Linked DNA regions of Lytechinus pictus. The protein of the gene in region 2 binds, or shares a complex with, the protein of the main gene of each other region. Links are inferred from orthologs where the notes say so. Each region holds a gene or a part of one and is shown on either strand. Other genes may lie near its edges.

Region 1 (16,858 bases), on a different chromosome or scaffold from region 2:
CAACATCCAAACTGCCCATTAAGGTTTGTAGAGGGACCATCATGCTTCAGTAGGCAATGGGTATAAATAGTTTTTAGATGAAAGACTTACTCAACAGCTCTTTTATAAACATCAGTAGCCATTTGGACGTCTCCTTCCATCAAGTATATCTTAGCAAGCATTACATATGATAAATCGTGTCTGTTATACTGGATGGCTTGCTTTAGGTACTCCTTGGCCTGAAATGCATAAGAGATTAAGTCAAATTAGTGCTTTCAAACTTCTCTTGTTAGAATATTACCATTTTTACTAGGGAATCACTGCATAAGATGTTGTTAATATAGATGATAATAGCGCAACAAATATAGGGCACACATAAGTTAAATTTTAATATCTGGGTATCTTTCTGTCTCAAATGCATTTGTGAATGGTTGCGCTACATGGACCTTCTCAAAAACATTCTTTTGAATCTCATACATTACAAAAGATATATGAAATGGAATTGTGAGTGTAAAATCATATTCTGTTATAAATTTCACGTCTTTCAATAATTCTCTCATTCTATGGTGGATACTGGATACCAAAATTGTTTTGTACTTTTTTTCACTACATTGTTATTACCTTGAGGTACTCTTTTAAATACATGTAGCAGACTCCTACATTATGAGCGATCTCCCAGTCTCTCTCTGTCATCCGAGATGCTTCAGAATAAACATCTATAGCTGCCTTGTGCCTTCCTAATAGGAATCTAAGGTGAAAAAAATAATGACCTCATCGGAATCTATGGAATAAACAATTTTTAAGTGGTATCGAACAACCTTAAAACTTATCTCTATTTTTTTTTTAATGGAAATAAATGAAGAATCAAAGTTGTATTGGGAGTGGACCGCACTTCCTTTTTTCCGTTTTTACTTTTGAATTAAAAGTATTCATATAATCATACTTCAAAGTAAATCTATTCTGTTCCTAAAGATGTGAAACATGATAACATCACTAGCTACAACTCGCAATGCTTCAGGTGATAAGTGTGCATAATCTGTTCAAGGAATAATGATGAAAATAATAATAATTAGAAAATGAATCAAAATAGGTGAACTTGTTGATATGGAAAACTTACAGAGAGCGAGCAACTTGCTTCAGGTTGTCTGGATTTTGAGCATTAATTAAGGCACATGTCTGAAAGCACTCTAATGATTCCTGAATCCTGCCTTCTTGCCGGAGGATAAGAGCTTGGACAAAGAGGGCGTACTCACACAGGCCATTTGATTCCTGAAGCTGGTCCTTAATTAGAGCCTGGTTGTTGAAATAATAAAAAAATAACAAATAACAATCATCTCTGAAATGCACTGTTAATGGAAAGGGACAAAGGGAAAATAATTACATTAGTAAATTTAAATAAAGCATGAGGGTAATCTAAAATTCCTTACAAATTATAAATTTTGTAGGGGCACAAGAAAATAGAAAGCATTACATACTTTGATTTTTCCTGAATCAGGATAGTTAAAAAACAACAACAGTATCCTGATGTAAACTGGAATCGGAACAAGATGTAGGGGAGACCGGGGTTAGTTGGAACATGGGGTAAGTTGAAACATTGTAATTTTCTTTAACGTCTTTAAATGAATTTCTGCAATACTGCCCTCAAGTTATTGTCATTATCAACGGCCATCCACCATATTACAGACAACACATGTGCAACAAGCCTGGTGAAGTTAGAAATAAATTTTTGTTTTTTGACCTTCTGAGTAATTTTTTTCTCATTCAGAAATGTTTGATTATCTCAGAGAAGTTTACAAATCAAGTTGGCCAGTTTAGGGGTATAAAAGACACTTATACCAAGCTACAAAATGAGGTTATTAATATGCCATGGTGAAGTCCCTTTTTTGTGCTGTAAGCTTATAAACGTCAAATGAGCCTCCGGGGTTAGTTGGAACAAAATTGAAGGGGCTAGTTGGAACATGTTCCAACTTACCCCAAACATAATTATGAATGAAAATATTGGATATGAGAAAAAAAAAAAGTATTTCACACTCTTCTGAACATGTATTGTATACCATGCTTGTTTTGTTTATCAGTTAGTTCCGAGTGTGCATTTAAGGCCTATTGTAGGCACCTAATGCAATGTTAACCCTTATCAAAGGGGGGGGGGTCAATTTGAGCCCCCCTCAAGAAATTTTGTCACTACGCCGTCGCACAAATTTTTTTGATTACACTGCTAGCTGACTTTTTACTTTCAAGTCTTGCGCATCATTTGAGACCAAATTTGTGATGCCTGTGTGCGCGGTTTCAAAATTACGCAACAAATTGTATGTGCATGTTCGGACCCAAAATTGTTCAAAAAGGTGATTCCATGTACAAGGTCAATGCAAATTGTGTTTTTCAACCAAAAGTCATAAATGTAGGATTATTTTTTACTTTTGCTGGTTCAAATAAATTCATTTTATGCTATTTATGTTCGCAAAAGACTCCTGACAAAGTCCATCGGAAAAAACAAAGTTCGAAAAAAAAAAATACATAAGAAATTATATTTTTTTGCATTTTTTGGTGGATATTTGTTATAAATGTGAAAATTGATACTCTCACCAAAAATTCTATTAGCTTAATAAATAGAGTTAAAGGCAAAAACATACAAAAAAAACAAATTTCTGGAAATTTTTTTAATCAATTATGAAAAAAAATAAAAACAATCAATTTTTGTCTTATATTTTGATGCAGAAGTACATGAAATTGCTGATAGTACACTTAATTGCATGTAAACTCAAACGCACCCAAATATGCGGAATTCTACTACACAGTCTGCTTGCGTGAGTGGCTGTATAATAGAAAACATAAAGTTCAACGAATCCACACTTTAATATTTTGAACTTGAATAAGATAAAGCAAATAGGCTAAAACCATGTAATATTACAGTTTTAAGTAGTTTTAGTATAATTCTTAATTGACCATGCAGTGTTCCAACTTACCCCATACCATGTTCCAACTTACCCCGATATGGGGGTAAGTTGGAACGTTTGTGATAGTCTTGTTCAAGGTGGATTTTTTCAGTAACCATAATAGAGTTAAAAATTTTATGGGGTACATTTGAAGCCCTGAGATATATGCTTCAAGCTGATATATTGATTGTTTCTCGAATAAAATCTATTTGGATTTTACAGCCATTTTTGTCAAAAATGTTCCAACTAACCCCGGTCTCCCCCTATCTCACTTCTTAATTTCTAAAATACACCCTACTCAAATAAAATCCACATTATGCATAATACATACATTATAGTCATAATTATCAGATCTATCTTTCTTCAAAACGTCATACAATTGTGATTCACAAATGCGGTTGGCGAGAATGACATAAAAGACGAAGTTAACAGGAAAAACATAAGGCTTGATGATTTGGTCCCTGGAAAAAAATGTATGAAAGTCTTTATGTAATCAATCTTAGTTGCCTTGTTACATAATCTGTTAAATTCATTTATTTAGAAAAAAAAACCTCTTGTGCACGGAAAGATATTTTACCTATTTTCATTTACTTTAATATACATGTATTTGTAAATTATTCAATACCAGTATACCACAATGATTTCATATAACAAACATATATTTTTAGGGCTCCCAACACAAGTCCCTAATGATCATTACAAAACGACAATGAAAGATACACACGAATAAGTCCTTACGCCATCAAATATCAGCAAAACTGAAAATTAACCCATTTTACCTTGCAGTTCTCAAATTCTTTCTTGACATAGTGAAGATGAATTAACCAGTTTCTCCTTTCAAATACTGGAAGTTCAGGAGCTTCAGAAAAATAAAAAGGAAAATTGTAAATTATGACAAATAAACAACTTCTTTCTTATTTATTTAATATTACAAAATATACTTTAAAAATATATATCAGATGAACACTCATTTCCAGGGTAAGGGATGGTCATTTATTCCCTCTGCTCCAGCAGGCATTCAAACTCAAATTATGTGTATTTTGTTTTCATGTTTATGCTTGGAATTTAGACAACTAAAGAATGGACAATCCATCTTTACACACCACTGAATAAGAATTGTCTTTTGCAACCTTTTAATACTCTCCTTCTGTGGTCAAATAGGGATCTAACTTCAGCAAAAAGAAAGAAAAAATTGTTTACTGTAACTAAAATGACCCATTAAACATTGCCTAGTTTTATTTTTTTCATTTAAAATTGACCCCCCCCCCCCCCAAGAAAAACTTAAAATATTTTTTTTTAAATATATAAATTTAATAAAACTTAGAAATAAAAATATGTAGTGGGAAAAGCATTAGTGACATAATGAATTAAATGAGTACCACATTGTCATAACATTTTGCACTTGGCCCTGTGATATGCAGGTTTGCAGATATTTGTGACAAGAAAACTGGATGAATGAATGGACAAACAATACAAAAACATGCCAACAGCAAGGATCTGTGAGTGGAAGCAGCAAAACAAATCTAAGTGGTAGAACTTTTCAGTCTCTTAGCTTAGATGCTGGTTGACCATTACCAAAAATCATTGAAAGACGTTCATGTCACTGGACCCAAATGCCTGAAAAGGGAAGCTTCTTACCTTTCTTACCCCTGATCCTTGCCTGAGGTTTTGGTGGAGGGTTGTCAGAGTATGGAGCACTTGCTTCAGGGACTAAATCTGAAGGTTTCTTTGGCTCAGGCTCCATTCTCATTGGCGTGACATACTCCTCTTGAGCTAGCTGTAGAAAGGAAAGATTACAATCCTCAATTAAACCACAGGGAAGAACATTTGCACATTGTTTATATCCTTTTTTTCTGTAGAGGAGTATCGTTTCTTCACCCTTAACTTGCACATAGAGCCTAGACTTATCTGGCGATGCACACATTCACCCACAATCTTGTTTCTGCAGAGGCTGATCCCAGACCTTGCATAATTGGACTAAATGCTTAAAATATCATATAACATAATTTTGCATTAACAATTGATCTTTTTCTGACATGAATATTATGAGAATAATGAGGGAAGACATACCGGTAATCTTTAAAATCCTTCTTTTGATTTTTCATATAGTAAATGGAACTTCCCCCAGTTACAAAAGGTCTTTGATGCATAATTAATACCTCAGGCAAGGGTTTGGATAGGCTACACTACACTTCACTACCGCTACCCTCCGCTTCACCTATCCGAACTCTCGGGGGGCAAACATGACAAATGCTCGCTCATCAAAAAAAAAAGACAAACTGTGGCACTTTGTGTTGAGAAAGCCACCACATGAAAACCTAAACATACATTTAGCTTACTCTACACAAACGTCTCAAAATCAGTGATTTGATGCCGAATCGCAGGACCGAGGGTCCGAGCTTAGACTCTTGCGCATGCGATGTTTTGAAATCGGCAGCGAATTATTAATACGTGTGGGGAACTCCATGTTGGCTCTAAATCACCAATTTTGAGACTGATAGAAGCATGGAAAAGTGAAACTTCGTGTAAAGTAAGAATATCAGTTTTAATTGTTTTTAAAGATCATGATGTTGCATGAATTTTATATTTTCCCCATAAAATCCCACCTTTGTCACTCGGAGTATCAGAGCAAGTTCACGGGCTTGATGTTCACTTGAGGTACCTAAAAACATACCTGTATTGCTTTTTGACAGACATTGACTTATTATTCAGACATTTATATGTAAATAGTTTTTGTTGTTCTGCTCTGAAGCACCTTGTCCTTGAGCATCTAATCAAGATGGAGAGTGCTCTATACAAATCTCATGTAGTATTATTGTTGTTCGTTGTGGGTCGTTTCCACACCCAAATGATCTCCTCGGTATACTCTCAGTGTGTTTGTCACAAGGTTGATGAGCTGCTAGGTACTATTTGCTTACATGTATTATTAATATTATTAGGTATGTATCATTATTAGGTCTAATTCTATGTGTTTGATATGCATAAGCAGCATTTAGACCAAAAGCTTCGGTCTCTGTTATGTTGGTTGTTCTGCTGAACTTTGTTGGCTCCACACACCAAGAGAAATTAAAAAAATAGAAAAAATATTAAAAACTCCTCGAAACAGACGGCTGCCAGCTGTCTAAAGCAGCATATGATTGAAAAATAGAAAAATTAAAAATAGATCTAGAAATAATCTAGTATACCCAGTTGTTGTGTGACCGGACAGGTTGTGTGTCCGGACGATCAATTTTAGAAAGTCATCTGGAAAAAATTACAAGCGAAGTTTCATCAATTTTTAGTACAAAATGTTAGGAAATATTATAAAGAACAAAATAGACGATGATTACAAGTATTGAATTCATATTTATAGTGTAATCCAAAGACAATAAAGAATAAACTGTCCGGACACCCGACCCCCCATCCTACTACTACTAGTAGTAGTACTATCTTATCTAGGCCCTATAACTACTACTAGTAACTTTTAACTTTGTTAGATCTATAAAAAAAAGCGAATATCAAATAAAGGACAGGTGCCTTCTTCACTGACCTTATTCCACTCGCCATAATAATCAACTCTTATGATTGTGGGCAACAACTAAGACAAGACAAATAACTATTCAAGAAAAGTGTTACTAAGTGTATGGTAGGGGGTCCTAAAGCTGCGCGGGTCCTAAAGCTACGCACCACTCATCGCGCATACAGTTTTTATGGCAAATGCGCACTCTGTGTGTGGAACTGTGACTGCAGAGTGACGAACGATTCCTGTTCAATTTTTTCTACAGAGTCAGAGGCTGCAGTAAATCTCTAATTTAATGCAGAGAAAACAACTGTTTCGAATTTTGGAGTAATATTCGCCTAACTCCTAAGTTTCATTTTATCCTATAATAATATGAATATATTTTAGAAATTGAGGCACAGGAAATAATTTTTTTGCATGATAAATCGAGTGCGTAGCTTTAGGACCCCTTCTACATCGGGTGGCGAAATCAAGAGGTGTTCGGAAAACACGGACAGGACGGAGGGATTTTCGTATTAGTGAGTTTTGCGATATTTTCTTCTTGGTCCTTGGTTCTTCTTCTTCAAGCTACACTGCCTCCTTCAATCCTGAAGATTCTTGCAGTATTGTAGTACCGGGGACCGGCAGGTGCAATACACCGGGTGAACACCCTACTCTTTGACGAATAGTGTATTGGTTTTAACGTGCATAGGTTGTGACTCTCCTATACACGGGACCAACATTTGCGTCCTTTCCGATGGACGGAGTGTTTTCCAACTGCATTCACACCCGCACTGAACACAGCGGTGAGGCACTTTAACACACAACTCTAGCAACAGTTTTTTTTGTTAGACGTCTTCCGGCATGCTGCGGGACTCGAACCCACGCACGTTGAGATCTACGATCTTATCCGGAACAGGCGCTCTAACCGACTGAGCTACACTGCCTCTGGTTAATGATCTTTAAAATGTTTGCCACAAATTAGTGAAAGATATTTGTTGAAATATTAAAATTGGGATAGTTTTTATTGTTTGAAAACAAAGTGCGTAGCTTTAGGTCCCCCCATCATACTGTTAGTTACTAGTAGTAATACTAGTATGGCAGTGTATCCTATTGCCGGACACCTTTATTACAGTGCTTTAAAAATGACAACTAGACTCTAGAGGAAATACAATCAAGAAAAATTCGCACTTGCTATTCCAAATATTATGAAAATTATTAATATGATAAAATTATTTTATATTTACCAACCATTTTCTTTGCATCGCACTTGCCGCATACCCCTCCACGAAAAACAATTATTTTCGTGCGCGACAAATTACATCATGATTCCGGACGCGCGCCGGACGGGTAAAGATATCCTTGATTATAATGATGTAAGAATAAATTTCTGTGATTTTTTTCTTCTTATATCATATCATGAATAAATTCTAACTTTTTGTTTGCTTTTTTTATATCGAATTTGAGCAGATGTTGGTAATAAATTTGTGTTTGATAACTTAATTTATTTTTTATTTTTTGGTTAGCTGCATGTTTCATGGCACTTTCCAGTGCTCGTTCGTATCGTGACGCTCATCAAGTTCTATCGATGCGCAGCCGATCGTCGACGGCTCTACTCACGGTAAACCTCGCGCACGGTACCTTGAGAACTAGCCGTCGACGATCACCCACAATACACCTCACCTCATCATTCGATCGAAGGAGCCGACGAGATTGAAATTCGGCAAATCAGGCCCATATTTCCGTAAGAAAATATATCAATTCATTCAATTGTTAATGCAAAACTATGTTATATGATATTTTAAGCATTTTCTGTCATTTTAGAGATAAATAAGGAAGAAATTTGATTTTTTCGCCTTGTTTTTGCAATCTTGTTCTATGTATTGATCTGTGAAAATGAATTGCGGAAGTCTTACGGTACGAAATTGTTTTCGAACGCATTTATATGCGCGTCCGGAATCACAATAGTGTCCGGTAATACAATACTTGACTATATAGGCCTACCCAGTTGTTGTGTGTCCGGACGATCAATTTTAGAAAGTCATTTGGAAAAATTTGAAAGCGAAGTTTCATAAATTTTTAGTACAAAATATTAGGAAATATTATAAAGAACAAAATAGAAGATGATTACAAGTATTGAATTCATATTTTTAGTGTAATCCAAAGACAAAAAAGAAGGCTTCAAAAATATAAAGTGTCCGGACACCCGACCCCCCATCCAATACGTAACGATCCACTAGGCACTAAGGCACTATACCATACTACACAATCACGAGCATGTGGGACCGTGCAATTATAATCGCCAATTTTGATTTCACCGACGCTTTTTCGATAGAAAATACTTTCTTTTCGAAAGTCATTAATTTAGACGATTGGTTATCATTTCATGGTTATTCCTAAAACGCTAAAATGTAAATAAATACCGCACAAAATTAGGAAGGAGAAGAAAACATCAAAATATTGGCGTACCTTTTCCTTGGCAACACCAACAGTTTCGTCGGCCATTTCGCTCATAATGTCAACCTCATCTCCAAGAATTTTAGAGCGAGCATGCCAGCGCCATAGTAATGTAAAAATGCCGTAACAAAAGTAACAGCAGTGTGCCCCCCCCATTATTAGTATATATTTCTATGCCCCCCCCCCCCCCTTGAAAGTGAAAACTTGTTTATCTTGCTTGTCAGATATTTACGTGGACGAAATGTTATTATTTTAGGTAATATTGAAAACCCTTTTTTTCTTTTCTTTTTTTGCTTGTCAAATTTTTCCTCGGGAAAATGTGCCCGCCCCCCTCACTTTTGGAAAATCCTGGATCGGTCCCTGGATGGGGGCTTGGGGTCACGGGCGGCAGATTTTTCGTGAATTTGAATGGGCAAAGCCAAAAAAATATAGCACTTACATTATCAAATTGGCATTTTGGTGCAAGGGGTGCAAACAGATTTTCACCATGAGATTATAGATCATTGTGTGAAGTAGTTGTGTGTTTTGATAAAATATGTTGGCCTATTATAAGGCTTTATTTCTTTCGCGAACGAGCGAGAGTAGCGATCGAGTGTTTTGGATGATCTGAAGTAGTGACACTCGCTTTTTGGTCAAATTGGTCCCACTCAGACAGCTGGCAGCCGTCTGTTAATTTCAGTGACATTAAAATGTAATGGTACAAAACGAAAGGGGAGGTGGATATGCATGCAGCAATATAGAATAAACTCAAAAATATTTTTTCATACAGCACGGGAATGCCTCCCCTTTGAGCAGATACTTTGCAAAAAATTGCTTGCTGAAAACCGGGGCTGAAAAGCAGAAGCAATAGCATTGGAGACTCAGAGAGTGACGGCAGTGTTTTACCCGCTCCGAACAAAATTAGAGCCGAAATTTTGTGTCAATGCGATTTAAAATAATATTTTCATATCATTTTAAAATAATATTTTTCATATCATTTTTTTCCCAAACTTTGAGATCAAGCAGGCAGAACATGGCATATTTCTGTGTACAACGTCACGTGACTAACGTATGATAGTTTCTATTTCTAGACCCTTTTCATTTGAAACAATTAATACAGTCCAAATAAACTTAATTAACGCATTTATATGTTAAAAGTAACAATGTTCTTGTACTATAAAGCTTTGCCTACTGATATTTATAATATAGCTACAGTTTTGAGGAGCAAATATCGAGTCCGGAATTGATTTTGATTTGCAAAAGGATCTGCGTAAGTGTACTATATACGAGCAGTCTAGCATCGTCTGCTACGTACACCAAATGAGCGAACATGACCGAAACTAACCATTATGTGTATACTTTATAATTAATGGCAAGAATATATACAAGTCTTGTGGCCGGGGAGGGGAAAAACGTGGAAAGGCATTTTATATATTTTTCCGAAGCAAAATTCTGTATGAAGAGAGAAAACAACGCCTCGTTTAGGTTTTTATTCTTTTGACCCCCCAAAAAAGAAAAACAATAAAGCTATACCCTTCTTCCCCTTTCTCTTGTCGCTTTTTCTTTTTCTCCTTTTCCCCCTTTTTTTTTGGGGGGGGGCGACCACCCCCACCGCCCCCTGGCTACGCGCCTGGCTTTAATAATATTTTCACTAAACGTTTTTGAAAGAAAATCCCTAATATTTTTCAAAAACGTTACTAAAATGTATTTTAAACATATTTTCCGATGTTTTATAAAATGAATTTTTTCAGAAATTCATTACATTTTACTAACATTTTTATAAGGGTATATATTTGATGAAAAACTATCATTAAAAAAATGATGTTAGAATACAATAACATCAACCGTAATAGAAACGTAATAAAAATACATAGGCGGATCCAGGGGGGCGAGGGGCCCAGCCCCCCCCCCCTATTGGCGGAGCAAAAAAAAGAAAAAGGGGGAAAGAAAGAAAAAAAAGAAAAAGAAGGGAGAAGAGAGGAAAAAAAGAAGGGGAACCACAAGAAGAGGAAGACGAGTGAATAAAATAAGATGAGAGGAAGACTAGGAAAATAATTTTAAAAATCTTTCATGTCACTATAAAAAATTTTCGATCGTGCTTCGCGCTCGCATTGCCTGTTAGGTGATTTACATATTGATATGGAGCTTGAAATATCAAAATTTGAATTCAGCATAGAAAACATATTTCAGCTCGGAAATCGAACTTTCATCATTTTGTTTGATTTGCAAATTGATTCTTAAAAAGTGCTCTGTAAAACTTTTTGTTTTATGGTCTGGGGCGGTATTCTGAGGTCATTTTATCTTTAAAATATTTTATTTTATCTCTTAAAACGAAATTGGTATTCTGGGGAGCGTTTCATGAAAGGACTTGTCGGACGTTTTATCCGACAAGTCCCATTTTATCCGACAGTTACCATAGTAACAGTACCTCTCAGCCAATCAACATCAGAGAAAGATGTCAGATCTGACAACTTGTCGGATGAAAATGTTGATGAAACACCCCCCTGAGATGACATTTTATCTCTCAGACAAAATTTAAAATTTTATCTTGCGTATAAATTTTATCTTGCGTATCTATGATGATACGCATCAGAGCAATGGCTGCGTAGACATACCCATCGCGTATCTGGACATTGCAACGCGGATGACGTGCTTGCGCCCAAGTTACTTTGAAGAAAAAATAAAATAAACTTAAAAGAGGGTAGGGGCTATTTTATCTCTGCGACGTTGATTTCGTCAATATTTCTTCATGAATTAACTCCAAATGTTGATATGAAAATGGAGAAAAATTATATATTCATTGAGAACAACACCTTAAAGTTATTCCTGTACAATTAGGAAGTATTTCATTAGACTTTGCTTGACTAATATTGTCTTTGAAATGATGCTTGAAAAGATGCGAAATAGACTTAGAAAAAAAGATGAGAGTATTGTCATTTTTGTTAAAAAGAAATCTCTGAAAGACGCGCAAGCGTATAGTGCAAGCGTATTTGAAGTCAATAAATTGACGCAATCTCACTTCTTTGCCACACCTCCTAGCGGAATGGATTTCCATTGGTTGAGTGATATGAGAGAGCTATAAAAGCGTGTTTCTCATTGGATATAGATTAAAAAATAGGTGTGTCTTACAGAGATAAAATGAAGATAAAATTGTTCTCAGAATACCAATTCGGAGAGATTTTAAGGGTATTTTATCTCACTGATTTTAACGAAGATAAAATATTTTATTTTATCTGAGATAAAATGGATCTCAGAATACCACCCCAGGCTCGCGATTTGCGCTCGCATTGATTGTTGAAAATATATTAACTCATGCATCTTATTCATAAATACAAAGTGCTTTAAATGTCCAGTTTTCAGGTCATAATATTAACAGATTTCGCGCTCTCACATTAGGCTTATTGGATTAATAAATAAGATTTTGATTTAATAATCAAATTGTCCCTTTTTTCAGAATGGAATATCGACAAGTTTCGTCTCGCGCTTAGGAAGAGAAATAAGAAGATATATTCATCTTTCTTGGGTTGTTCTGGTCCTATGTCAAAACTCAAAGTAGTATCAATGAAACATATGAGCCCTTTTTTTAAAGTGATCCATATCCAACTCACAATTTTCCTACAAAGTGCTTGAAATACAGATCTTAAATTGACCCTTTTCAGATCGAAATCTGGAACACGTGTGCGCATGCATATTTAGATATGCAGCTTGTTTACTTGTTCTCTATTCAAATCATTATCCAGTTTCATTTCACAATATCAAAAATTTTCTGCTCGCGCTTTGCGCTCGCAATATTAATGTAAGAAGATTTCTCATCCTTTTCATGATTTACAAAACATGAATAGAGTGTCCCATTTTCAGGTGTAAATCTCGAATTTTTCCGCTCGCGCTTCGCGCTCACATCAATTGTTTAGTTACATACATACCGTTTCACGATTACAAAAAGTGCTAAAAATTTCCATTCTTCAGGTAGATATATCAGAATTTTTAGCTCGCGCTTCGCGCTCGCATTATTTGATTGTTGAAATATGTAACGTCTTCAGGGCTAACTGCAAGCAGCCGTTAACAGATCATTTTTTTATTAGATCAAAAGTCAAAACGTATCATGTAGTTGGATACACATCTCGTTTAGGATCACAAACATTGCCCGGAATGTTTAAATTTTAGGACAAAATACATGAAATAAAAAAAGTAGCTAGCTCTTCGCACTATTGAAATAAGGCTTATACGAGATTGTTGGATATATATATGTTGATTCATAAGAATAAAGCTTAGAAGTGACCCCTTCAAAGAAACAAACAAAAATCAACTTCGAGCGGCCGATCGGGGAAAATGTGGCTGAAAAAATCCGCCCCCTCTATTGGCGAAGGCTGGATCCGCCCTTGAAATATGTTTTTTTAATAGTTCAACAAACATAAAAAAAAAAGCTTCTTCTAATATTTGCCAAAATATTTCAAAATGTATGAGAAACATCCTTATTAGTGTCTTTATAATATAATATTAACAATTTTTTTAAACTTTGCTATCATTTTTATAAAGTTATATATGGGATCTAAATATATTTTTTATATATTTTATATATTATTGCCAAATCTATAAAAATGAAATATTGTATAATTCAAAAAATAAAAAAAACAAAAGAAATAGTGAGTGATGGACATCATCGAATTCAATGACTCACCTACTTGTGCATATCACTGTTTTGTGAAAAATAAACGAAACTTTAAAAAGTCATAACTTTCTTATTTTACGTCCGATTTTGATAAAATATTTTAGTGTTATACTTGTTGGATTTTTCTCTTTTTATTTGAATCAACTTTTTGTTGGGGTAGACTTGTCCTTTAAATAGTAAAAAACCAGTGTTTTCATATGCAAATAAAAAAAAATGATTCAATATTATGAAGACGAGAGATATGTTAGTTCTATATCGGGTTTGTTTAATAAATTTATAAATGGATGTCACTTCATTCTTTATTTACTTGAGAGAAAAGTTTAAGAATTATTATTGTTTGAGTTCATTTTTTGATCGTGTAAAAATGCTTGCTGGTGTATATTTTGATATTATTTTTGACTCAATATAAAAGGCCTTTGGAGGGCTAAAAAGTTTGAAAAAAAAGATATCATAATGAACACCATCTTAAATCATTTTATTACGTTTTCAAAACCCTATATAGTAAATAAATATTCATGTTAAACAAAACCCTTTTCATGATGATTTCTTTTCAGAAATCAAAGAAACATCTTAATAACATATTTTCAATGTAAAAGGTTTACTTTAAATGTTATCAAAATGTAATGACGGCACAATCAAACTAGAAAGGTTAATTTTGATAATATTAATTACATTATGATTAAAATGACATCAAATGTTCTAGAAAGGTCATAATAAAATATTTTGACAATATTATAGGGATATTTTCATTAAAAAAAACGTTGGAAATTATCATGTAGAGGAAAACCATCTTTTATGATTTAATGACATCATGATAACGTTACGACGTTCTAATATAATTGTTGGAAAAACATTTTGCCAACGTTGGAAATACGTTTGGCCATCTGGGGCGGTATTCTGAGGTCATTTTATCTTTAAAATATTTTATTTTATCTCTTAAAATGAAATTGGTATTCTGAGATGACATTTTATCTTTCAGATAAAATTTTAAATTTTATCTTGCGTAGAAATTTTATCTTGCGTATCTACAGATGATACGCAACAGAGGAGTGCCTGCGTAGACATACCCTTCGCGTATTTGGCCCATGATTTGGCCATTGCAACGCGGATGATGTGCTTGCGCTCATGTTACTTTGAAGAAAAAATAAAATAAACTTAAAAGAGGGTAGGGGCTATTTTATCTCCGCGACGTTGATTTCATCATTATTTCTTGGTGAATTAACTACAAATGTTGACATGAAAATGAAGAAAAATTATATATTTATTGAGAATAATACCTTAACGTTATTCCTGTACAATCAGGAAGTATTTCATAAGACTTTTCTTGACTAATATCGTCTTTGAAATGATGCTTGAAAAGATGCAATATAGACTTCGAAAAAAGATGAGAGTATCGTCATTTAAAAAAAAGAAATCTCTGTAAAGACGCGCAAGCGTATATTGCAAGCGTATTTGAAGTCAATTTATTGACGCAATCTCACTCCTTTGCCACACCTCCTGGCGGAATGGATTTTCATTGGTTGAGTGATATGAGAGAGCTATAAAAGCGCGTTTCTAATTGGATATTGATTAAAAAATAGGTGTGTCTTACAGAGATAAAATGAAGATAAAATTGTAGTCAGAATACCAATTCGGAGAGATTTTAAGGGTATTTTATCTCACTGATTTTAACGGAGATAAAATATTTTATTTTATCTGAGATAAAATGGATCTCAGAATACCACCCCTGGACATGATGTAGCAGTCATGAATATTCATGAGAACAGTGAATGACCAAATTGTCAGCTTAAGGACGTTCCACAGTTAAAGTGAAATCCATGTCATTTTCACCAAACTTTGCACATAGATACTTTAGAACCTTAATATTCGAAATAAGCAAAAATTAACATAGGTCCATGTGCTTGATTTTTTGCTATAGAGCTTTAAAGTTCACCCAAATTGATGTTCTTAAGAATTGCGCATTCAAAAGAATTTGGCATTTTTAGACCGCCCAAGATTACTACAATGAGTTTAAACCTCCATTACTCGTTCAAAATACATGAAAAAGTCATCAAATTTCGCAAGAGAGTTAATAATTGTATCGTTAGAATGGAGAATCTATTAATAGTGCTATTTGTTTGCAATTTTAAGTTTAACAGCACTGTCAGTTCTTAAAAATGGCGTAAAAGATAACAAAATCCCAATCTGAAAAATGTAAAATTTCAGTAACAAACTACAAACGTACAATAAATGCTGCACTTTATTCAAAATCCATGTAATTTTCACCAAAATTTGCAGAGTTGTAGAGGAAGGTATACCTAAGAGGTACAAACATTAAAAATAGGGGTTCATGTGCTTGTTTTTAAACTATCAGCATTTTTATTAGAGCAAATGTGCTTTTTAAAACACCAAAAATGGGCCGAATGCTTAGTATCTATGTGAAGAAAAAAAATCAAAACCACTCTACCATTTATTCAAACTCGGGCTAATATTCGTGATTCTTGGCAGCACTGCAGAGTAAAGTATTTTGAATTTGTAGAGAATATTTTTTTGAATGGTCCATGGAATAATTCAAATTTTTAGCTTCATGAAATAACGCATCGGATCTGCAGTTAAAGTGCAGAAGATGAGAAAAATCAGCTCATACCCGCAGCTAATTAATACCTGTTCATCCATTGTGACGTCAGCGCGCAGAGTGTAAACTATGCGCAGATCATAATGCGCACAAATATAACTGTGGAACGTCCTTAAATAGATATAACAAGGCGTGATTATGTTTACGTACTTGTTTCACCATCAAAAGTTTCAAAAAAGTATGTAGCTTGATTACCATATCGTTTTCGTAAAATAAATGATTCGTATAGGTGAAACATCATAAGATATCTTCTTTGCATGCGACATTTCATAATTATATTGAAATAACATATTTAAATCATTAAACGTAAACAACATTATAATGTTTTAAAAGAAATGTTTAAATTATATTAAAATGTATGGTTTCAGCTGAAATGATTATAAGCGTTTTTAGAACATTGAAACATCAGAAAGATAATTGCAACATTTTATTAATATTATTGAAATAGGCCTACATTGGAAAATGTTTTTTTAATGTTGCAGCACTAGCGTACCTACGGGGGGGGGGGGGGCAGAGGGGCAGTCTGCCCCCCCCCCCCCCTGACGAGCCACCACCCATGCAAAGCCACCACCCATGCATGCATGCCCCCCTGACGAGCTTGAAAGACCTTTTTGCCCCCCCCCCCCCTGACGAAAATCCTGGAAATTGTGTTGCAGCTTAACGTTATGAAAACGTTTTATAGCAATGAGAACACCATACATTTTCACATGATTTTAACATTTCCCTAAAACATTTTCATGATGTTTGAC
Region 2 (17,113 bases):
AAACAAAAGAAATAGTGAGTGAGGGACATCGTCGACTTTCTCATTTGAGTTGTGCAAATCAATGTTTTGTGAAAAATAAGCAAAACTTTAAGTGTCATACTAGTAACTTTTTTATTTTACATCCGATTTTGATGAAATTTTCAGCGTTTCGCTAGTTTGATTTTTCTCTATTTTATTCAAATCAGCATTTTCTGGGGTGGATTTGATCTTTAATATCCGATCCCGCTGCCTTATGTGGATTGATGTTCTTGAGTTGTTTGCCATCGTCACATCCTGCCCCCCCCCCCCTTTAGCGCCCCCCCCCCCCCATTTGAGGTTGTATTACTTTGTTAGGTACGCCTATACGGACCACCGCTCAAAAATAGATATCTAAAAATGATAAAACAATATAGTTCGTGCAAAAAAAATACCGGCAATGTTAAAGACCACTATTGCTTTGTGCATATTTTATCATCTCTATAAAATAAAACTATGTATGGTCAATTCCATGCCAAGTTAGATCTACCCTTAGTCATATCATGGACCTATGAAGAGATGGACATTAATCGCTTAGATAATGAATTCACTGACAGGTGACTGTAATTGTCATCTGAACATTCTCTTCATACTAGTCTTCTTTGGTCCTATGATCGTCACCATGAGAAGGGACTGAAGCAGTTCGTGACTGGACATTAATATTTAACAAATATGCGCAATAGATAACAAATCACTTAAATCATGGAAAATCGGTGTGCAGTTCTTGTTTACCTTTAGTAATCTTAGTTCCATGTGTTTTATTTGGGGAAATGTCTGCATATTTTAATATAGAGGCAATATTGTGATTGACTGTTTACCATTTAGAATTTAATTTTCCCAAGTTTTTCCATAATATTCCAGATTTACGTGGTACTTAACATGTATATATAGATCGTATATTTCTCAATGTTATTGAGGTTCTTATGTGTGAGCGGTAGTTAGCGGATCGAATAATATCGTATTTTATATCATAAAAATCGTCTGCTTCTCAAGTTTGCTGCTCCAAATATGAAGCATGTTGACTGATAGGCACATGCTGAAACAGAGTATCAGCCAACAAAAATCAAGACCGGGAAACTGTTCCGTCTTTGGGTGATCAGATACGACTAACACCTGTACGTTCTCATTAAGATGCGCATACCCAGGCGACGGTGACTATCATTGGACCAAAGAAATGCTCGCGTTAATCGTCCATCTCTTCATAGGTCCATGGTCATATTTAAGTATAATCTTGCGAGAAATAACTATTCTCCTTCAGTAAAATGCGACTATATAGAAAATAGTAAGTGTTGTGACTAAAACATACCCTATCATGGCCCCGGGAAGCGGGGGTGCTGGACCACACCCCCAAGTTTTGCCCTGGGGTGCTGCGTACGTGTATTAACCTCCATAGGCAGCATCCCCTGGAATTCCGGTAGGTGTGAAATAAAAATGGAGAAAAATAGCGAAAATGACCTATATTTTGCAATGAAACTTTTTTTGAGGGGGGCAAATTTCTCGGGACAAGAATATTATGTAGAGAAAGCCTCTTTTTATTGGGGGGGGGGGGCTTGCTTGTCAAATTTACTTCAACACCCCAGTAATAAAATCGTTCCCAGAGCCCTGACTCCCATCATGCAGCTGTACATTAAATCCATACACGGGATGCTATTTGGCTAATCACATAATATGTGTATTATTATATTATTATTGAATCCGCCAATCGACAGGAAATATTCACAGAATCGTAGTTCTAATCCGACCTGTATGGTTGTTCACATTGTGGTCTCAACTATCAAGTAAAAAATCTTCAGGATTGCATCTGAAATATGAAACTGCATGCAATAAGCTATAAAGATATCTTATCTCTTCTTAGGCTCATCAATCAACACTGTAATCCACACGTGCATGTATCCTGATCTAAGGATTGTGGCAGACACATTCATCCCACTCCCCTCCCCCCAGCCGTTATCACATCCCTCTCTCTCTCTCTCCCTCATCCCACCCCCTCTCTCCCCCTATCTCTCTCTCTGAATTTGTCTAAAATCTTGTCTAATTTTATGTTTCGGGGTGGGGACTGTTTCTCCGGAATCCACACAATCAATATTAATTGTTAATCTCTTTCCTATCATATTCGTGTGTCTTATTCACCCCTTTGTTCATTCATTAATAAATTCTCATATTTCCTTCCCAAGATTTCGTGGTGTTGTTTTTTTAATCCATGAAAGATCGGTCTACCCTATACACTGTAGCATTACCAGTGGCGTAATGAGCCAAAATGCTTAAGGAGTCAGACATGGAAGCAAATTTCTATTAAAAAAATAATAATTAATTAATAAAAAAACTGTGAGCCAAGCAAGCGAGCCAAAAAATGACAATTTTTAATACAGAAGTCTAATTAGTTTGACATCAGAATCATATTTCACCCTAGTTCCTCTCCTTTTATTTCATTTTCTCCTATTTTTTTTCTTTCCTCGGGTCATGAAAATGTTGTTGGGTCCAAGCTCTCAACCTCCCATCTGTATATGGACCTACGCCAGTGACCACATCCCTTGATTTTTATCATTATCTTTCTCAATCGTCATTTTAAAGGACAAGTCCATACCCATTCTTTGAATAAGAAGAGAAAAACCCAACAAGCATAACACTAAAAGTCCATCAAAATCGGATGTAAAATAAGAAAGTTATGTCACTTTTAAGTTTCGCTTAATTTCACAAAATAGTTATTATGCACATCCCGGTCGGTATATGCAAATGAGGGAACTGATGACAACAATCACTCACTATTTCTTTTGTATTTTATTATATGAAATATGATATATATATATATTCTTATTTTCTCCTTATTGTCCTGTAAAACAATGTTTTATTTCTCCCTGAACATGTGGAATTATATTGTTTAACATTTATGGTTCAGTAAGGTTGATCCTTACTGTCAAATCTGTAAAACTTGAAATATTCAAACAATAAAAAACAAAAGAAATAGTGAGTGAGTGATACCATCGATTCTCTCATTTGCATAATGACTAAATTGTGCATATAACTGTTTTGTGAAAATAAGCGAAATTTTAAAATGTCACAACTTTCTTATTTTACATCTGATTTTGATGAAATTTTCAGCATTATGCTTGTCTGATTTTTCTCTATTGATTTAAATCAACATTTTTCTGAGATGGACTTGACCTTTAACTTGAGTTCCAAATCCGTCATTGGGAATGATACCCTGCTTCCTCATCCGTCAAGCTCAACTGTTTGAATTTCCGGAACTACATAATACCGGGATATATACCAGCAGCCTCAATCGTCCTCAAATACGTATGTATAGGCATATCTCCCAAAAATTACCCGCTTTGAAAGGGGCCGGGCCAGCAAGGGGGTAACCGTACAGCAAAATCCACTTATAAGGCAAACAATTAAACAAACAAACAAACACACAGACAAACTGACAAACATTATGAGTACACCAGTCCTTTCCGTGCGATCGAGCCGATCGGGCGCAGCAAGCCATGTAAAATCATACGCATTTTTCAAACGAAGTTGACCATTATAGATATTTAGAAAACTAACTTTCCCGTTTTAATACCATTTTGCCAGATTATCTATTTCTGCAGATGAAACAGCTGCTATTTTACAATGTTCCACAGGTCCTGCAGGGTTCAATGATAGGATTCTTTGTTATTCTTTGATTTTACTCTACATTCGATGGAGAGTCGCGAGCAAGGGAAAATAATTACCATCTTGATCAGGCCCGTAACGGTATAGCCGGGGGCGATGGTCTACAGAACCCCGCCCCAGCGTTTAAAGCAAAAAAAAAGAGGAAGAAGAAAGGAATGTGAGGAGGAAGCTAGGGTCGGAAGAAAAAGATAAGAAAAATGAATGAAACAATAAAAGGGAATGGAATCCCAGAAGGAAAAACCAGTTCCACTGGACCAGTTAGACCAGTAGAATCTTAACTGGTAACTCTGGAAATTGGAACATCGGTTTACTGGTCTAACTGGTCATACTGGTCCAGTTAAAATTGTACTGGTCAGGTAAAAATTAAACTGGTCTTGAATTGTAACTGGAATTTTATACTGGTCTTGTTTCTGGAGTTTGTCACTGGTCTTCAAACTGGTATCTAACCCAAGCTGGTAATACTGGTGTTACTGGTATTTCCTACTGGTCTGACTGGTCCTCCAACTGGTCGAACTGGTCCTTCAACTGGTCTTACTGGATCAATTTACTACATGCATTTAGTTTGTTATAAACCATGGTCAGTGAAATGTGGTATGGAAAAGATGGTTAATAAATTAATCTTTCTGCTGTAATTTTAAATGTGTGAAATTACACATTTTCATTGTGAAATAGTTTACACAATTATTTAGAAAGTTTTTTAACAACAATGAGTGCCATTGCAATGATATTCTTTTCTAAATCCTGATTTTTCTTTAAAAAATGGGAAATATGCAAATGAGGTAAACCATGTGATCAGCATCATCAGAATTACTGGTATTACTGGTCTTGACCAGTTGGAAAGTCAATTTCAAACAATAATGGAATTACTTTTGACCAGTTGTTTATATCAAAGGAATATAACTTTGATCTTGATAATAAAAGGAAACAATTATTATGATATTTAATACTAATGATGATTACAATAATAATAACGATAATAATAATAATAATGATAATAATAATAAAAATAATACAATAACAATAATGATAACATTAATAAGAATGATAACAACAATGGTCATGATATAATCATCATCATTATATTAATTTTAATAATAATAATAACAATGATGATAATAATAAGAATAATAATAATAAAAATAATAAAAACAATATTAATAATAATAATAATAAGAAGAAGAATGATGATGATAATGATAACGATAATAACTTTATCTGAATTGCAAGATTCATTTTCCATAATTCGTCAAATTAATTTGACTTGAAATAAAATCATTATTTTTATTGGACCAGTTACACCAGTTTGATGAAAAACAAATTAACTGGTATTAGTACTTTGCTTTAACTGGAATACAATTGTTGGAACTGGTCACCAGTTGATTTTTACTGGTACATTTAAAAATCAACTGGCCCAGTAAAAATCTACTGGAAACCATTTATTGGACCAGTAACACCAGTTTGATGAAAAACAATTTAACTGGTATTACTACTTTACTTCAATTGGAATACAATTGTTGGCACTGGTCTCCAATTGATTTTTACTGGTCCAGTTAAAAATCAACTGGCCCAGTAAAAATACACTGGAAACCAGTGAAAATATACTGGAAATTAACCAGTAAAAAATTTACTGGTCTTACTGGTTTTTCCTTCTGGGATGGTAGGGAAAAAACCTTTCAGGATGATAAATAATAAACTATAAAAAAAAAATTGCTTGCGTATCGCGCTCACATTCGCGTAAATTAATAAATACTCTTCCTGTTCATGATGGCAAAAGGTGAATAGAACGTCAAAAAAAAATCAACTCGCGCTTCGCTCTCGAATCATTTACAATGCCCTCTTTATGCCCTCCTATATCATAAGTTCCCTGTGATTAAACTTCTGACACTTATTAATAGTATTCAACAGAAACTTGTCGAACTCACAGCTTTGGCATCTCTAGGCTACAAACTTGGATGTTGGACATGCATGGGTGACTAGGTATTATTTGACAAGACACATCCATTTTTTAACCATTCCATATTCACTTGAGGAATATGCAGCCAAGAGCGAAAAAATATGTTATGTACCCAGCCAGTGGCGTACCGTGGGTCACAGCATTGGGGGGGGGCACCAGCAAAAATTTTGAGTCACTTAGTGAGTGCGCGAAGCGCGCCCAGTTGCCAGGTATACTGACCTAATATAGACATTTTAAGGACAGTGCCATAAAACGGATATGTCTCTCACTGCTCAAATAATGCGAGCGCGAAGCGCGAGCTTAAATTTTTTGATATTAAGTCCTAAGAAGGGACATTATATAATCAATGATTTGTAATAATGATACGTACCTGTCTCGCTAAATAATGCGAGCGCGAAGCTGAAATTTTTGTAAATATTGACCCCCAAACAGAAAGATTTTAAGGACTATATTTTAGGAATCCATTAAGCGTATACACATCTCACCATAGTCATCTAATGCGAGTGCCAATAAGCGCTTGCTGATTCTGTTAGAATTACATCTAAACATGCACATAAAGCACTTGTAATCATGATTATCAGATTAATCATGATCAACATACCCATCTCACTAATCAAATCTTGCGAGCGCGAGCTGAAAATTTAGGAAATTCAGACCTGAAGAGGAGCATTTTAAGGCTTGTTTGAAGGAATACACGAAGACCATACGTAGTTCACTAACCAAATGATGCGAGCGCGAATATATTCTGATTAGAAAAAGGGACATTTTAAGGACTGATTCTAGGAATTCATGGAGAGCAGACATATTTCACCAATCCACTAATGCGAACGTAAGCACGGAGAGGAAATGTTTTATATTAAGACCATAAAATGGGGCAATCACTTTAAGTAGTCATGAAAAAGAAGCATACTATTGTACATAAAACAATAATAACTCGAAGTGCGAGGAAATATATTTGGCAGTTTGGTGCATATTGACTAGAAAACGGGAGGTTCTAGTATAACAGGATTATATATCTCGGTAAACAGACAATGTGAGCACCAGGAACAATGAAGACATAGGCCCCGAGCAAATTGTGTTTCATAAAGTTATGAAAAAAATGTTTCTTATGTACTATAACATAACATAATTATGAAATAATATAACATTATAATGAACAATAATGTCTTCTTTCCCACTACGTTTCTCTTCCTTTCTCCCTCTTTTTCTCCTTTTCCTCTTTTTTGGGGGGGTCAGCCGATTGGGGGGGGGGGCACGTGCCCCCCATGCCCCTCCGTTGTTACGCCACTGTACCCAGCTATTAATCCTCAAAACCATATTAATCTCTTTATATCTTCAACATTTACATTTCTCTTTGTAGCTGCTCTTTTTATATGATTAAGTTTAAATACCATGCTCATCGTACTGTTAAGAATTTGTAGACAAGCAATATACAAACAAGGATAATTTTTTTTTTTTTTTTAGAAATGAGATAAATTAAGTGGTGTCCTTTAATTTGCCATTGCCAGTATGCATGTAGGCATATTATTTAAAGGGATGGTCCAGGCTGGAGATATTTCTATCTAAATAAATAGAGTAAAATTCACAAAGCAAAATGCTGAAAATTTGATCGAAATCGGATAACAAATAACAAAGTTATTGAATTTTAAAGATTTGCATTATTCCGGTAAAACAGTTCTAGGCATGTCTTTATGAATATTTATTAGGTGGGTTGATGATGTCATATCCCCACTTGTTCTTCTGTATTTTATTATATGAAATTAGATTTATTTAAAATATTTCTACCAAGGAACAATTGGATTGACAACTGATTAAGCACATTAGTTATTTATTGCCGCAACTTATTTCATCATATTGAAGACACATCATGTACGCACGTATAAAATAACATTTATGATTTCATGTAATAAACTAAGAAAAAGGAAAGTGGGGGATGTGACATCATCAGCCCACCTAATGAATATTCATGACGATGTGCATATAACTGTTTTCACAATATATTGATAATCTTTAAAATTCAATAACTTTGTTATTTGTTATCCGATTTTGATGACATTTTCAGCATTTAGCTTTGTGAATTTTACTCTATTTATTTAGATAGAAATATTTACATGTACAGCCTGGACCATCCCTTTACAAATGGTACTGTACACTTAAAAGTGGATTATTTTCCTCAAGATTGTTTAAGGGTAAAATACATCGTTGCTAAGGTAAATAGTGTTGCTAGGCAATGGAATTGTGTCAGTAGATGATGGTAAATTCCTGAATACTGTTTAACAACCTATCATATGTTAATTTTCTCAATATTTTTACTCTACGGCACAACTTCCTCAGCACATTTGACCGAGATGAAGAGTGGTAACATAGCCGTTGCTAGGGAATATTGTTACTAGGCAACACATTTGTCTCCATGGAAGCTAAAAAATAGTCAGTTTGTTGAATGATTATTGAAAACGAGGTTGTAGGCTGCATCTAAATGATAATTGTGTCAGTATTATTGCTCATAATGAACTATTTTTACACAGATTTGTCCAGGGAGGAGAGTCGTTATCATAGTCGTTGCTATGGAAAATAGTCGTTGCTAGGCAATGAATTGGTATCCATGGGTAATGTGAAATGGTAATTTTGTTGTTGTTCTATTGAAGACAAGATACTGCATGTTAATTGATCAGGTATTATTAACTCAATCCACTTTTTTCACCACAAAATAGTATAAAGTATGTGACTTGTACGTACGTATATATCAATGTAGTCAAAATGAACAATAATATGGCGATTTGTACGATAGAAGGGGGTGTGTTAAGTAGAGCTTAGCACATTTATTTGAGGTTTGCAATAGTTAAAATGGGTTTTTTAGTTCTTTTTATTATTTTTCAATAATACTTTATAGAATTTCATTGGTGTAACTTATTAGGTTTAATCTAACCTAGTTAAAAAGTTAAAAGTTAGGTTTGAAATGGAAAAATAAGTGGTTTACTTAAGGAGCCAACTGGTTGCTAAGGAAAGTTATGTTGCTAGGCAACAATTTCTGAGAAAATGTTCATAAAATTCATGCTAAGTTGTTATTCAGTAATCCTTCTTACAATATAAAGTGGAACTATCCTTTAAAAATAAGAAAAAATACCTGATGATTTAAATTAAATAGTAAAAAATCAATATTCACGATAAATTTTCAATATGTATTTAAAATGGGCGTGGCTTAATCAAGGCCGGTTTCCATGGTGATGCTACACATTACGTCACTTTTAATGCCCAAATCCGAAAAATTCAGAAATTTTCCTTTAATTTGATGTATGATTTTGCTTTGATCCAGCCGGGGGGATTAAAGTCAATAAATAAGCCACTTTTTGGCTTCTGGCCGCTCACCTAATACAACAAGCAGTTCTGGCGCGTATGATCTGGAGAGATAAAGCGCCATCATATTCATTTATATACTACCACTTAACAAGTTTTACAGCTTGTTAGTTGGTTTCACCCTTTTTGTTTAAACAAAGCTCGTTCTTTATTCAAACATGTGCTGAAACTGATCAGTTTTTAGGTCAGAATGTCAAAAATTTCCACCTCGCACTGAGTAGGTAACCCTCCATAGCTGGATACACATCCTGCTTAGAATGCCAATCTTTCAACTCGGAATGTCAAAAATTTAGCTCGTGCTTCATTCGCGCTCGCATTGTTTGGTTGGAGAGATGCATATCTTGATCATGGTCTTTAAAAAAATGGATATAATGTTCAATAAATTTTTGGTGTGAATAAAGGAAATATCCAACAAATCGAGCTCGCATTTGCAATATTTTATTTATTTGTGTTCTGCAGTGGGCGGCCCTGACGATTAAAGATAATTTCTCCAATTATCAGGAAATAAGGGATTTGTATATGAATGGGGAAAACCTATGAATGGTATGATCTACTCGTGTGATAATTTTTATCTGATGCCGTAATTGTTTAATCAATTCCCAATGTATGTCCAAGCCTGATTTCTTTGCTTTTTTTTTTTACTCATCCCTGATCTCGGAGGCCGGCGTTTTTGGAACGACCCACATATTTTGGAATGCAATCACGTACGTGATTAGGCATCAAACAAGTCATGAAACATTTCCCATGTCTCATCTATATCGGTTTCTTCGAGAAACAATTCCCAAGGGGCGTAATGACTTGTGAATGTCCAACATCTGTTTTATCGTTTTATCGTTTTATCATAACGTTAGAGGAGATCGACGAAACTTCTTTACTGCAATTATACTTTTATCTTTATTTCGAAGGAAGTAACTGCGTTGTTATGATCACTGATATTTCGCATATACTGAGAATAACCTGAATCACTGTGATTTCATTTCTCACAAATATCATTTTCTATCAATTTGCAATGGTTTAGACAACTGAAAGAGCTAAATTAAGTCAATAACAAATATAATGATCATCTCCATATCCATGTTTAGTCGATCAACTACAGAGCTAGAGCTAGAGCTAGAGGGCAGCAAACGTCGAATTCCATATGAAAATTTTCCTTTGCAGAATTTGTGGAGCGTTCGTAGCAACGAATGCAGCAAATATTATTCAAGGTAATTGGATCTTATCATGTAATTTGTAACAGTTATATTTTATAGTGTTGTCTGTTTTTACATCTAACATTGTATGTATAAACTTTTAAGGTTTCTGGTTGTAATAGTGGCAGGTTGTGCAGCTATATAATTTCTACTTTCCATAGATTGACTTTGAGTTTGAGTTTGAGCTCAGTTTAGTCCCACATATTGAATGTAATGTAAGTCAGACGAATGTCGACTCGGTTATGGTGGTCCTAGTCCTAGACCTAGACAGCTGGCGCTGGCAGCCGTCTGTTTCGAGGAGTTTTTTTTATTTTTTACATTTTTTATTTCTCCTCATACACAGCTCGCTATCGTGCAGCCACCGTTAGGCCGATTAACAATGCAAAATCTGACGGGGCTCATCGATTTTTGTCTTTATTTCATAAATTAAAAAATAAAAAATATACAAAAAGAACTTTACCAAATTCCAAAATAAAGATTGTTATTCCGTTTTACTTTTAGCCTGAAATTCACCAAAACGGGGAATTAACAGTGACTTACTTCGGCTGCCGCGCAACTTCACTTCCCTGTTTTATCCGAACTTAATACATAAACATGGCCATTGAGTCCCTGTACAGATCGAGCTAGAACTTCGGTCTCTGACTCTGTATTTGGTGAGTGGAGCCAACAGAGTTCAGCGGAACAACCAACATAAAAGTGTGTTATGAGTTTTTGTCAGACGTGTATCAATCAGATATGATTATTTACGTCTGGGACTGACCTTTAACGTCACCATCCGAAAGACGTGACCAGGGCTCGAACCTCGAACCTCTGCATCAATTTGTAACTTCCCCGCATAGCTTGGATTACAGGCGCACGCCACAACGCCCAGCAAGAGACCGAAGCTTTTGGTCTATAGTATGGTGGTCCTAGCCTGGAGGCTTCTGGAGAGTAAAAGTATCTACTGTACGTCACTCGTCATCCCCGACCATTTTCCATACAGCAAAAGGTAGGGGATGGGACTAGAGGTATGTGAGGCGTACTCATAGACAAAATTTGTAAAATGTAAAAGTAAGAGAGTTTGACTTACCAGTCTTTCTCCCGAACCAAACATTGATCTTCCTTCCGTTGTTGCTGGAATTTATCTTGGACTCAACAATATATTGTCATTTATTCGAGGACTCTTCGAGAAATCGTCGGAATGTATGATGAAATTTGGTTGTTGTTTGAAGGTTTGCATGGTGGTATGTACAATCGCTGATGTGGTTTACGGTACACCATGTGAAGTGTAACTTGTAGAAACAGTGGATAGGAGAAGAGAAGAAATGGATAGGCGAGAAAGTGGAGATTTGAGAGTAGATTATTCTTTCTTGAAAGTAGTCCTGAAAAGGACTGTAAACCAGGAAAGATTGATGAGTTGAGAACAGCTTGAGTAGTAGAGCTAGTGAGGAGATGCTGGCTTGAGTCGGCGAGTAGAGATGATGAGTAGTAGAGAGACTCGACGTTTCGGGCAGGTTGACTGTCCGTCTTCAGGAGTGAGTGTTCGCTTGGCGTGCGGCGGTACTTATGGCGTTCGTGCGGACGTGGGGGAAAGCGCTGGGCCGGCGGTCACGGCGGGCGGACGTCGTAGGTGGCGCTCTGTGCGTGGGTCGGCGGTTTTTGGCGGGAAACGAGTTGGCGTGGTATGCGGACGCGGTGAGTAGACGGCGGGGTGAGTTACGGCGGCGGTGTGTGTCGGCGGCGTGGTAGGTACATCAGTGGTGGCGTTCCGTGCGTGTTGGTCGGCGGACTCGTCGGGTAGGCTTCGGCGGGATTGAGTGGGTGGCCTGGTGTACGGATGAGGTGTTGGGTCGTCGGCGGAGGTTGTAGCGAGGCGTCGGTGTCGGTGGCGTGTGCGTCGGCGAAGTTGCTGGTTGAGTTGGTGATTCGTTCAGACTGCTGTGTTGGGTAGGAGGGCTTGGTAGGGTGACGGTGGACGGCGAGTTGCTTGTGGAGTTGGTTGTGGATTGGTTGGAAGTTGGGTGGTGACGTAGGATTGGGTGCCAGATTGTGTTGATGTGGAGACCAGGGTCTTGAGGCACGGTGTTGTGTTGATGTATCTCAATGGCTTCCCTGACCCTTCTGGTATTCCAGTGCCGGATGTTGGTGATTAGGTGGCTCTTGTCCCAGTCTATGCTGTGATTTTCTTGTTGTGCGTGTTTGACGATGGCAGATCGGTCCCAGTCGCTGCGTCGGTGGTGGGTCTTGTGTTCCTTGAGTCTGGTGTCGAAGTCTCGGCCGGTTTCTCCAATGTAGACTTTGCCACAGTCGCAGGGGATCTTGTAGACGCCTGGTTGCTTGTTGGATGGGTGCTTGTCCTTATGAGAGTGCAGGATGGAGTGTAGCTTGCGGGAGGATTGGTGTCTGACGAGGATGTTGGCAGAGTGAAGGATGCGTTGTAGTCGGTGTGAAGTCTTGCCGATGTAGGGAAGTGTTATGGTGGCGATAGGCTTGGTTTCGGATGGGTTTTCGGTGCTGTTGGTGTTGGGTTGGTGGCTGGACGGTTGAGTGTTAATCCTTCTCCTGGGGTAATGGTTGATGGTGGTGAGTGCATTGGTCACGTGCTTGAGTTCCTGCTGTAAGTGTGCCTTGTCGCTTAGTTGGTGGGCTCGTCTGATGAGAGTGCGGGCGACTGATTGGTGGACGGATGGGTGGTGGTGTGAGCGGAAATTGAGGTAGCGGTCTGTGTGGGTGGGTTTCCGGTACACCTGGTGAGATGGGAATCCAGATGGTGTCTTGGTGATGCGAACGTCTAGAAAAGGGATTGAGTCGTCGCGTTGGGTCTCCATGGTGAACTTGATGCTGGGGTGCTGGTGGTTGAGGTGGTTGAGAAACTGGTGAAGGTCGGGTGTGCTGTGCGGCCAGATGACAAAGGTGTCGTCGACATAGCGGAGCCAGAGTGAAGGAGGTTTGTCCGCAGTCTTGAGTGCTTGGTGCTCGAAATGTTCCATGAAGATGTTAGCGATGATTGGTGAGAGAGGTGAACCCATGGCTGCTCCTTGTAGTTGTTTGTCAAATCTCCACTTTCTCGCCTATCCATTTCTTCTCTTCTCCTATCCACTGTTTCTACAACACTTCACATGGTGTACCGTAAACCACATCAGCGATGATGAAATTTGTCATGATCCTCAGCAGCGCATAGACTTCTACATAGAGGATGTAACGCGCCCTCTTGTGCTCAATTAAAGAAAGCTAACGGAAGCGACCACACCACTGTCCTCTACAGAGCTGTATAAAAATGCTTAGTATATATCTCTATGTTCTCACCACAGATACCTGTTTCCGGTGATGCTTCTATTTCGGATCTCCGAGATCCAGCGATAGTAGTCTCTTTCTCCCCTGACACACAATATTTTGTTATAATTATTTTATACATAAGAATAATTGTTGTAGCGCCATCAGCTTAGTTTATTCTATAATGAACTGTATCTTGTCGTATGGTGAAAGGAAATATGATGCCTTTTTTTTGGGGGGGGGGGTTATTGCTTCTTCTCTCGATCCCCCGATCCCTCTCTTTTATTGAGTATTATCATTGTAAGGGTTAATTATTAATATTATTATTTTGGTTTTCTATTATTTTTCATATTGTTATGGAATATTCATTTTCATCATCATATCACTTTTGTAAGCCCACATTTTGTACCGTCCTGAAATTAATATGGGTAAAGGGTGAAATGTGAAAAAAATGGAAGGGGCAAGAAACTCAAGACAAAGTGATAAAACAGAACATAATTACGTTCCAATTTTTTTTAATGAGTTTCTTTTATTTATCCAGGATGGGGAGCACATCAGGCTCGTGCCCACCCCCTCGAAAGCCATAGAACACATTTATTTTGCATCCATTTTGTTTGATAATTTGTATAAATTGTTAATTTCATTTGATTGTAATCCTTTATGTTTGGATTTGAAATCAATTAAATTAACTTGAAACTTTCCCGCCCTCCCCCTTGAAAATTTTGATCTGCCCCTAGGCCTAAATAGGCCTTTGTGGTAAGAGATTTTTTTTTAATTTTTTTTTTTAATGAAAACCCTTTAGGTTTAGATTTTAAATCAATGAAAACAAACTTGAAACTTCATACTGTATAGCAAGCAGCTGTTATCATAATTGTGAAATTAATCGTTACATAAATCTCCTTCACGGGGGGGGGGGGGGAGCTTGTTATTTTTTTCTGTAAAAGAAACCACCCCCTCCCCCTTTGGAAAATCCTGGATTCTCCCCTGATTAGACCCACAGCAAAGTTCGTTATTCCGAACTTCTGTTACATCAATAATTCGGAAATTAATGCCTAACTTTGTAAAAATATTTCTATCGACAAGTTCATTAATCAGAAAAGAATAAGGGGCTTCTTCATCAAGAGTCCCATATTAAACAGAAAATTAACAAAATCGAAACAACTGAATTTCTCCTTTATTTTTTTATTTCATACAAAAATGTCTTATTTCATTTCAGTTTCACAACTACTAGTATCACTTTTGACTTTGTATCAATATGAAACAAAATTGCAAATTTGTCTTGATTGAGGCTATCAAGACTTCCTTACCAGAATGCATTACGAGCAAAGTTTCGTCGAAACCTCAACGGTCAGTGGTCCAAACGGGTTGATGAGCCTCTATGGTTTCGTGAGATCTTTTTTCTTTTTTGATTTGTCACTGTCGTACACCATAGACGTAATGGAGGCATTTGGATGAGGTTCAGGTTGAGAAATCGGTGAGTTTCTACTCATTTTTAATATCATATTTATTAATTCAAAGTCATATCCGTCAAAATAACATTTTACATCAACGGATCAGTTCAAGTATGAACTGATTCGCGATGCTTTGGGCAACGGATGGGGGGGGAAATGAGCAATTTTAACAATAGAGAGGTATACAGCCGAGAACGAGGTTATATTATAACCTCGTTCGTAGGATGAGTGCTGTACGTAGGCTTACTCTCCATTGAAGCCTGGCTCTGGTTACCATTAGTGCATTACTCTCTATATACTGTAGGTTTTCCCACGATGAAACTAGACCTAAATCAGACATTTTACTTATCGTTTTGAGCCCAAACTAACGTACATGGGCCAAAACAATATTTACCCCCCGAAATTGACAACGTTCCATATATTTATTCAATAAATAGTAGTAAATTTGAAAAATAATTAAGAGCACGAGCGTTTACTTACCCAGTCTGTTTTCGTCGCCATCTTGCCGCCTTTGTTATCGATACTTAATCACTTGTTTTAGGTATTCATTGTTTGTTCCTAGTTATTAGTGTGATTTGTTTTTCTCCTTTTTGACTGTTTATACTTTATTTGTTCTTTGTTTATTCCAGTATTATCTTTGTATGTTTGTCTTGATGTATTTTACATATATGTTGTTGATATGGACCTCTGCATATGCAGCTGTGTCTGGAATAAAGTCTTGAATTGAATTGAATTGATACCTAGATACCACACACGTGTAGAGCTGCCAACTTAGATTTTTTTAAATTCTTGCATCGGCCGATAAATATCATGAATCGTAAAATACTTGCATCGGTCGATAAATATAAAGGTCAATTTATGATTTATTTTTTCATTCACCAGAGTGCTCAAAAATTTTAATTTTGAGCATATTTTTTGTGTAGGCCCTTTATTGGTGGAAAGTAAAATTGCCAGAAAATTGTCTTAAAGGTCCCATGAAATACAGCAAAGATGCTGATTTATTCGTTAGCTTAGTGGTTACTACGATTCCATCAAAATTTTACCCGAAAAACATCCCACATCAGGTTCAAAGGCAGTTTTATATTGAAAATTGAGCAAAATTCGCTCCGCCCACAAAATTTCAGCCCAATTTGGTTTCGTATATCACGTGACAATTATGACGTCAGGGAAGGAAGCTGCTGAGCGTTGTTGACGTTTGGAGCGTGAAGTGCCTATTGTGGTTGCACGTGTGGATTCAAAGTAAATAAATTGAATTGCTGGAATAATATTCAGAACCTGAATCTTCAAAGTCTGAAGAATCAGATGCAGCTGATGACGATGCTGCAGCCATGATCAAAACCTCATAAAAATCTAAAAAATCCGTTCAGGATGAGCCCGGTCGAAACAGCAACTACACGAGGAACGTGTACAATAACTAGTGGTCCGGCTGCACAGCTGGGAAAGCCTTCGATGACGTCACAATGATTGACAGGTTGATCGGTTGACTCTTTCGAAAATTTTAGTGGGCGTTCCCGTTGAAGTTCATTTCCATGGAATAACTCAACACCGATTCGTCGTACACAGGAACCGATGGCAAATTCGTATTTTTCAAGTAAAACTACCTAATAATAGATATGTATCTAGAATAAGATGGAATTTGTGTCATAGGACCTTTAACAATGTCTATATGTCTATATATGAATTCATGAGATCAGGGGAATATGTTTTCTATTTTAATTTTTTTGTCTTGCCTGTACTATCATGATTAATGGGTTTCTCAGAGTAGCCCTCTTAATCTAATTCTGTTATGATTTTGATTCCCCCCCCCCCCTTCCAGTACATTGGATGGAAAGAATTCATAGAATTTTGATGAGGAGATTTCCATAGAGATTAATCCTTCAAGATGATGGAACTAAGTTTAAACCGAGTGGATTATCTCCAGGTGAGTCCTCAGCCCTCTTTTATTTGAACTTGGGAGCATTTTCATGAAACAAATAGGCATTGATTGTCAGTGACTGTGAAATCCTTGCATCTGATTGGCTCAGAACAAATTAGTCAGTGAAAACCAACTATTTGCTTCATGAATCACTCTCTGAATGTTGTTTAGCTATATAGGTTTAACTATGGGTAGCTAAAAGGTAAAAAAAAAATTAATTGTAGATGTTAAATAATACTCGAACTACTAAAACCTGTCTTGGATGTTGAAATAATAACTCAGACTGTAGTTTTCTTCACATTGTATTTATGGTGTAGTTCTTGTTTTA

The links.
Region 1: Bardet-Biedl syndrome 7 protein homolog (region 2) and Bardet-Biedl syndrome 4 protein-like share a complex: the UniProt entries of both Caenorhabditis elegans proteins name them as parts of the BBSome complex. The link is inferred for Lytechinus pictus from reciprocal best matches to the Caenorhabditis elegans genes osm-12 and bbs-4.

Annotation. Positions count from the first base shown.
Region 1 is NC_087246.1:53,081,366-53,098,223, forward strand, and holds the start of Bardet-Biedl syndrome 4 protein-like, read right to left. Parts: upstream 8,907-16,858; 5' UTR 8,905-8,906; coding exon 8,860-8,904; intron 4,690-8,859; coding exon 4,551-4,689; intron 3,772-4,550; coding exon 3,692-3,771; intron 1,273-3,691; coding exon 1,097-1,272; intron 728-1,096; coding exon 601-727; intron 219-600; coding exon 91-218; intron 1-90. UniProt on the Caenorhabditis elegans protein: Component of the BBSome complex. The BBSome complex is thought to function as a coat complex required for sorting of specific membrane proteins to the primary cilia.
Region 2 is NW_026974140.1:10,640,554-10,657,666, forward strand, and holds the start of Bardet-Biedl syndrome 7 protein homolog, read left to right. Parts: upstream 1-10,095; 5' UTR 10,096-10,182; intron 10,183-11,900; coding exon of another isoform or gene 11,901-13,175; intron 13,176-16,686; 5' UTR 16,687-16,752; coding exon 16,753-16,791; intron 16,792-17,113. Other genes in the region: uncharacterized protein LOC129265491, read right to left, coding at 11,901-13,175. UniProt on the Caenorhabditis elegans protein: Component of the BBSome complex. The BBSome complex is thought to function as a coat complex required for sorting of specific membrane proteins to the primary cilia.